Neurospora crassa OR74A: one gene and its partner. The main gene of each other region encodes a partner of the protein of the gene in region 2 in a complex. Links are inferred from orthologs where the notes say so. Each region holds a gene or a part of one and is shown on either strand. Other genes may lie near its edges.

Region 1 (3,230 bases), on a different chromosome or scaffold from region 2:
GATATTCACTATGGATGAACTTGTAGCAATCAGCATCGTTAACCATTCATTGTTTGTCTTTCAACTTTCTCACTCATCCCGCACGTATAGCCCTTTGTTGTTTCAGTTATTGCTGCAGCCACAGCCCATTGTTTTGACCCCACATGATCATGATCAGACGAAGTTTTGTGATGACTGGTTATAGTAGAAGACAATATAACTATCAAATTTGATGTAATGTTTGAACAGCGATGTGAAGTTAATTTTGTAGAGGACAGAGGAAGTTGATGAAAACGTGTCAGTCATGCGCCGAGGCAGGTTACTTTGAGTGTCTTGGGAGTTGCCCCTGGAGGTTAGGCTGCAGACCTATGCAATGCCAAGTAGTCGGCACATCTTTCTTGTATTGGCGAAGCATGAAGTTGGTCTAAGACTGCCAGAATCGGATATACGAGTTTGGCGAGTTTGTACCGACGGCGACACTGTCGTAGGAGTCCTCCGTGATTTCATCAAATCGGTTCAGAAGAACTGGGAAGACCAACAGTTAGCTCAACACACAATGGATTTAACCAAGCGTCATTATACACAGAGACCATCAACCATGACAACCAGTGTAACGATACCCAGCTAGGATACGTGTAATACCTATCGTATATTCTATAAGCTACGTGCTTCCTCGTGATATCCACGTATGGAACTACCGTCCTCGTGATGTGCCTCCATTGCGGCCATGTATCCAAGGTTCATGTTCGGAGGGGTTCAACAAGGGATGTAAGTCACCGGCGTGGTGAAAAAGGGCATAGAGAATGAGGGTAACATTGATTTGTGAACCGGGCAATCCAACGGCAAATGATGCTGTCTCTAGACCAAAGCACACCGGGAAGCAAAGTAAAGGGGACTTCACTTTCATACGGCTGCAGGTGGCACCTAAGTCCAGACCCCAACAGCACAGTCCCATCGTCCCTTCTGTCGTAGCAAGCCCTCCCCCTCTTCAGCCAACGTGACCCTAAGGATATAAACCCAGCAGAAACAACATGATGCACAGCCCACCAACCCGCTCATTGATCCAGTAATCGTGTATGAATCCCAAAACGCCCACAACGTCTAAAGCAAAACGATAGAGAGGATATGATTACGCAGTCTCGAAGTCGCCGAAGGTGTTCTCGCCCGAGTATGTGATGTAGAGGAAACTGTGGTAGTAGTCACGTTAGTCTGGGTTACAGTTGGAAAAAAAAATGATGGGGGATGGAGGCTGCCACGTACCCATCCTCATCCTTGTGCTCCTCGTAGATGCTGCTCATGAGAGCAGCGGTTGGAGGAAGGACCTCATCTACGAAGATGAAGATGGCCTTCTCGGGCGACAGCTTGATGCGCTTGCGGATGACGTAAACGAACTGGCCCACGGTGAGGTCCGCCGGTACGAGGTACTTCTTCTTATCGATGGTAGCGATATCACTCTTCTCGACCTTTTCGCAGATAACCTGTGGCGACATGTGTTAGTTAGGGATAAGGGCGGTGACTGCGGGATCGTCCGGATGGGGGATGCTTACGGGAATACGGTCGGAGTACTTTTGGCGAATACGCTCGGCCTCAGCCTTGCGCTTCTCGAAGGGGTGCTCGTCCTTGAACTTGGATCTCATTTTGGCGGTTTGGGTTGATAATGTGGAAGATGCGGTGATAGGTGTTTGGCTTTGAGATTGACTACAAGCGTGGATACGATGGATGGATAAGACGATGTCTGCGATAGACGGAATCCGGTGTTAGTCGGAAGAAGCGGCTATTGAAAGGGAGATGGACCATGGATGGCTTCCACAAGGAGCAGAATCAGTGTTGGCCGGCTGGAAATGCAGAACATACCTTGATGACTGGCGTGTGATGAAATGAGGAAGCTGGGGAGAGATGTCAGAGGTAAGAAACGGCAAGAGGATGAAGAGGGGGAAGAAGGGTTGATGTACCTCTTTGACCATCGATGTAAGGTATGTTAGTAGGTAGGTTGCCAGGCAGTGTTGCCTATCGGCCGCGTCCAGTTGGCGCCTGCCCGCCTGTCTGCGCAGCACGGGTCAAAGGCCCTGGACGGGCACGCCAGGACAACCTGAACACTAAGCGGGTGACCAGCAGGCGGAGGCGGGGCTGACCAGATGACTAAAGCGAGAGTCGATCCTCGATTGGGCTTAGCTCGCTCCCAGTCGGTGAATCAGATGGGTCACTGGCCGTCGCTCACATGGTCAAGCTTAACAGGTCACTGCCTTTTCAGTGGCATTCCAGGGGCATTTCAAGGCGAAGGCGTGCCCGGCACTCAGCTAGGAGCGGTACCTGAACGGTACCTCTTGGCCATCAGTGGGGCGGCGTGGAGGTATGTACCTAGCAATGACGCAGCACTAGGTCCGTATCCGCCTCCTATCTCTCGTTCCATGTACACTACTGTAGTACACATTACCAAGTCCTAGGTTGATGATACCTTCCACTTGTATCAGCGGCACATGGACAAGACAAAAGGATGGCCCGAAGAAGGGCGCATTGTAAACCTCCTTTCCGTTCCAAGGGCAGCCTCGTGGCCGTGATCCTTTGGCTTCCCGGTTCGTTGAACGTGTGTAGACCGCATTTTACTAAGAAGGGCGTGGACGGTTCCATCGCCTTGGCCAGCGTCTCGAACTTGCACGGGCAGCTTGTTGACCGCTTTGTTCGCCTGCCGTCTACCTAGGTACCTCTACACTATTAAAGACCTACGGAGGACCAGGTCATGGATGTCACCACTGCGAAGTCGTCATTCTCTCCGCTTGTTCGCATTTGGTATATCTTATCCATGATAAGTAGTCTCCTATCGGCAATGAAGCTTTATCCTGGAGCTCCTCCCGGGCCTCCCTACAACTGAAGTCCGATCGGAGCTGACCATTTGCCCCGCCATCAATGGGACCTGGGCCCGTGTGTTTATTATCAGGTACCGTTTTCGGTGTCCGCCTAGGTGGCTTTTCCGGTCGCTCCCGGAGTGCGTGCAGCACCAAAAGTGGACATCTCGCTCCTCAGGGTCCGGTTCCCCGTCCATCCACTGGAGCCGTTGAAATGCAAGGAACACCCCGCGAATGTTCCGTTTGGGCTGCCCGCACAGGATACGGCACTGCGCTATCATGGATGGCAGCGTGGTTACAGAAGGAGCTGTCTATCAGCCTGTTCCGGGTATAGCGTCATTTTCCATCATTAGTAGTGTAGGTAGTTGATAGTTGATCCAACCAGTGGAAGAGAATTCGGCTCCGAGG
Region 2 (3,921 bases):
GGCGAGCGCCATAAAGTACGAGTCCCATGAGGGCCGGAGACGGTCCGGGTTGAGCAGGTCGAGATTCCCCAGCGTGGCGTAGAGATGCGCAAGAGAGGGCGACGTGTTGAGAAGGCGGACGGTGGCGCGCGACATCAGTGGGAGCCGGCCGGTTTGTGGGAGGAAGAGTTGCGTGTCGTTGAGGTGGGCGAAGGATTCAAAGATGAGGGGTTCTTCTTCTTCTTCTTCTTCTTCTTGTTGTTCTTCGTCTCCAGCTTCAAGAGCGGCACCGCCGGCGGAGGAGGAGTAGGACTTCATGTTGTTTCGGTGACGTTGTTGTTTTTCCCCGCGCTCACGGAAGCGGCGCCATCGGACAGTGAGGGGAGCATCGACGCTGATAAGCAGGAAGAAAGGCCGGCGGGTGTACATGTCGAGGATCCCCTCGGTAGGAATGTCCGTTGTTACCCATCGCTCGCGCCAGTGCTTAGTGATGAAGTCGAGGAGATCGTCGGCGGAGGGGAAGACATGGCCTTTCGAGCGCGCGGAGGTGGAAGATTGGGTGTGAGAGGTGATGTAGGCGGGTAAGAGCTTGTGGATTAGACCGTTGACATGATCATTTGGGGTTTCTCCGCTGACGATATCATCGATCGTCTTAGTTGTATGCTCTAGCGATACACGTGTGAAGCCATGGTGCTCAACGAGATATTGAGCGATGGTGCTCTTGCCGGCGCAAATACCTATTGACAGCGTGTAAGTGACTCAACTGGGTAGAAGATGGAAAGACAAGAGGGGCTGATGTACTGCCGCAGATGCCGATGAACATGGCGAGTTTCCTTTCAAGTCCCTTCTTGAAAGAAATGTGATAAGAGAGGAAAAAAAAAAAGGCTATAACAACATGGATCTGAGACACAATCTACAATCTATATTTACTGTGTACTCAACGATTTCTTGATGGGGTCGAATTTATGCGAATAACTGTCGTTGACCCGACAAGACGCGTCGGTCGACTTCAGGAACGCGTTTAGTGGGTGCAGCCGCTATCAGCGCACCGAGGATCTGCCGGCGGGGTATTCCCACCCATCGTGCATACCAGGAGTGGGTTACCGCTCCCGTCTTGGCCGCTCTTTCGGGTGTTGGTCAAGAACCTAATGCGGGGCACAGCTGCCTTGAGTATGTAAGCTTCAGTGATTCCCGGTGTGACAAACAGACAAACCAAGCCATTCCAGCTCCTCTTCCAACCCGTCCAGTATATATTCGCTCAGCTCATGAAAGGAGTCATTTCCGCGCTGCTACCCTTACCCATTGACACAGCTTCAGCAGTTACAGTCAAGGTGTGTTCTCTGGACCATCGTCGCCCACTTGGTTCCTATATCGGTGAGACGTTCCCGAGTGCATCCTGGCGGCGTATATAGTCCGGTGACAAGGGATCGGGTCATAGGGAAGACAGCAGATGACGCAGAACCGCTGACCACCGCCCACACTCTGGTGAACCCGTCTTCTTGATTCATTTTACGATCGCTCTCCGGAGACGACGGGACTGCTGTCAACCTTGTCGCAAAAAGAGTACATCAATAAGCTTCCAACCGTGTGCGCCAGGCTGCCAACTCAAGCCTTCTTCGACCGCTACTTCTTGGGATAGAAAACGCATGCCAACATCAGGAAAGTCGTTACATCCATTATCAGTAGTTCCCCCAATCCGAAGTCTCTAAGTGCGCATCGCGGCCGGCTGTGCGCCCCCCTCATCCATGGATCTCAAGTTTGCGACCTTCTCCTCGGAGATCGAGCTGCCCTTCTACTCGGCCCTCTTCTCATCCAAACTCGACCATGACAAGCTCGACTCTTCGGCCCGCCCTGTCTTGGGCTTATATGAACCTCGGTCGCACGCGAGTCCAGAGGCCAGTACGAGAATGCAGATCTTGGGGAGCGCCCTAACAAGCGACCAGTAAGTTCCCATGCACGCTTGCTTTTATACTTTACGAACCAAAGCCTGATGATAGGGACGAAAGCGGGCCCTTGGGCATGACGAGAGCCGAAGGCTACATTAAGAACGTCAACACGATCGAGGAATTCAAAAACACGGACAAAAATGCGATGATCAAGAAGGCGGGCGAACAGGTTCGTATCCAGTAGCTTCACTTTGGGTCGCGCCAGTGCTTGCGCTGTAACGAAAGCTTACTGACGGGCGGATAAAAGATCTGGGATGCTATTCAAGACGGCACGATATACTCCTGCCCATCGCTACTTGCCTCTTTCCGGATCCTGTCATACGCCGACCTGAAGAAGTACAAGTTTACCTACTGGTTCGCATTTCCAGCCCTACACTCGGAGCCGCAGTGGAAGCGAACAGGACCGATTGGCCGGTTGACCTCGGACGAAAGCACTGCTTTGGTCGAGCGCATAGGAACATGGCGATACATGGTTGACAGGAGAGAGCACGGATTCTTCCTCGCAAAGAAAGTGCGTCGCGAGGCCGCAGGCCCAAGATCCTCACTTGATGATCCCGGGGTCGATATCGGCTACCGTTGGGATATTGGATCTCTCAGAGACTTCGAGACGGGATTCTTCAACGACGCGGCGGAAGAGGACAGATATGTTGCTTTCGTGGACCCATCCAACTATCCCGAGTACCCTTCCTGGCCTCTTCGTAATCTCCTCATCCTTATCCGGCAAAGATACCGCCTCAACAAGGTCCAAATTCTCTGCTACCGCGACACGCAGCCTAGGAGACATGAAGCGCGGAGCACCATCCTGCCACTGGCGATGGACCAAGTTGGCGACGTGGAGTTGAAGTGTATGCCCAAGGTTACCGGCTGGGAGAGGAACGGTAACGGCGATCTCAGGCCACGGGTCGCGAATCTGGCAGAGTACATGGATCCCACTCGACTAGCAGACCAGGCAGTGGACTTGAACTTGAAGCTGATGAAGTGGCGGCTCGCGCCGAATCTTGACTTGGACGCGATCAAGAATACGAAATGCTTGTTGCTGGGCGCAGGGACACTCGGCAGCTATGTCTCGAGAAACCTGCTAGGGTGGGGAGTTCGCAAGATCACGTTTATTGATTATGGGAGCGTATCTTATTCAAACCCAGTACGGCAGCCTCTCTTCAAGTTTGAAGATTGTCACAATGGGGGAAAGCCGAAGGCTATTCAAGCTGCCGAGGCACTTAAAGAAATTTATCCAGGAGTTGATGTAGAGGGCTACGCACTCTCTGTTCCGATGCTGGACCACGCGATCCACAACGAGGCAAAAACCAAAGCAGACTTTGACAAGCTGAAGGAGTTAATCGATTCACACGATGCGATCTTCCTCCTCATGGACACGCGCGAGTCCCGATGGCTGCCCACACTGATGGGCAAAGCTGCGAACAAGATCGTGATGAATGCGGCACTCGGATTCGACACCTACGTTGTCATGCGACATGGTGCGGCGCCGAACGACGGCAGTGAAGAGACCCTTGGATGTTATTTTTGCAACGACGTAGTAGTTGCTGCCGATGTAAGGATCTGCTAATTCATCCAAAGCGAGTTGTGGAAAGCTGCTAACCAAGTCTACAATCCAGTCGATGAAAGACCAAACGCTCGACCAACAATGTACCGTCACCCGTCCCGGCGTGGCAGCCATCGCTTCGGCCCTCCTCGTCGAGCTTCTCACTAGCATTTTGCAGCACCCGCTCAAGCAACACGCGCCCGCGCCCGTCTCAACCGGCACCGGCTCTGCCGTCTCGTACGAGCGCGATCCCCCTGACCATCCCCTCGGTCTTGTCCCGCACCAGGTCCGCGGTTTCCTATCCAACTTCCAGAACATGGTTATACGCGGCAAGTCGTACCCGCAGTGCAGCGCCTGCAGCAAGCCCATCCTCGACGCATACAAGGAGGGCGGATGGGAGTTTGTCAAGACGGCGCTGGCTAGTCGGGACTATGTAGCTGAGCTGAGTGGGCTGGC

The links.
Region 1: the proteins of NCU06672 (region 2) and atg-8 are in contact, whole or in part, in a crystal structure (PDB 3RUI), measured with the Saccharomyces cerevisiae proteins. The link is inferred for Neurospora crassa OR74A from reciprocal best matches to the Saccharomyces cerevisiae genes ATG7 and ATG8. Residues at the interface, in NP_012041.1 of Saccharomyces cerevisiae: Gly333, Thr334, Leu335, Leu436, Val437, Asp438, Ser439, Arg440, Arg443, Ala460, Ala461, Leu462, Gly463, Asp465, Ser466, Tyr467, Leu468, Tyr486, Cys488, His489, Asp490, Val491, Val492, Ala493, Thr495, Asp496, Ser497, Asp500, Met506, Thr510; in NP_009475.1 of Saccharomyces cerevisiae: Arg28, Glu37, Lys38, Lys46, Tyr49, Leu50, Pro52, Leu55, Gly58, Gln59, Val61, Tyr62, Val63, Arg65, Lys66, Arg67, Pro72, Glu73, Lys74, Ala75, Ile76, Phe77, Phe79, Asp82, Thr83, Leu84, Pro86, Thr87, Ala88, Glu112.

Annotation. Positions count from the first base shown.
Region 1 is NC_026502.1:3,123,397-3,126,626, reverse strand, and holds atg-8 (autophagy protein 8), read right to left. Parts: upstream 1,953-3,230; 5' UTR 1,834-1,952; intron 1,715-1,833; 5' UTR 1,617-1,714; coding exon 1,527-1,616; intron 1,458-1,526; coding exon 1,240-1,457; intron 1,167-1,239; coding exon 1,109-1,166; 3' UTR 573-1,108; downstream 1-572.
Region 2 is NC_026505.1:4,205,449-4,209,369, reverse strand, and holds the start of NCU06672 (autophagy ubiquitin-activating enzyme ApgG), read left to right. Parts: upstream 1-1,256; 5' UTR 1,257-1,724; coding exon 1,725-1,921; intron 1,922-1,976; coding exon 1,977-2,094; intron 2,095-2,172; coding exon 2,173-3,474; intron 3,475-3,538; coding exon 3,539-3,921. Other genes in the region: NCU06673 (deoxycytidylate deaminase), read right to left, coding at 1-716, 781-802. UniProt on the Saccharomyces cerevisiae protein: E1-like activating enzyme involved in the 2 ubiquitin-like systems required for cytoplasm to vacuole transport (Cvt) and autophagy. Activates ATG12 for its conjugation with ATG5 and ATG8 for its conjugation with phosphatidylethanolamine.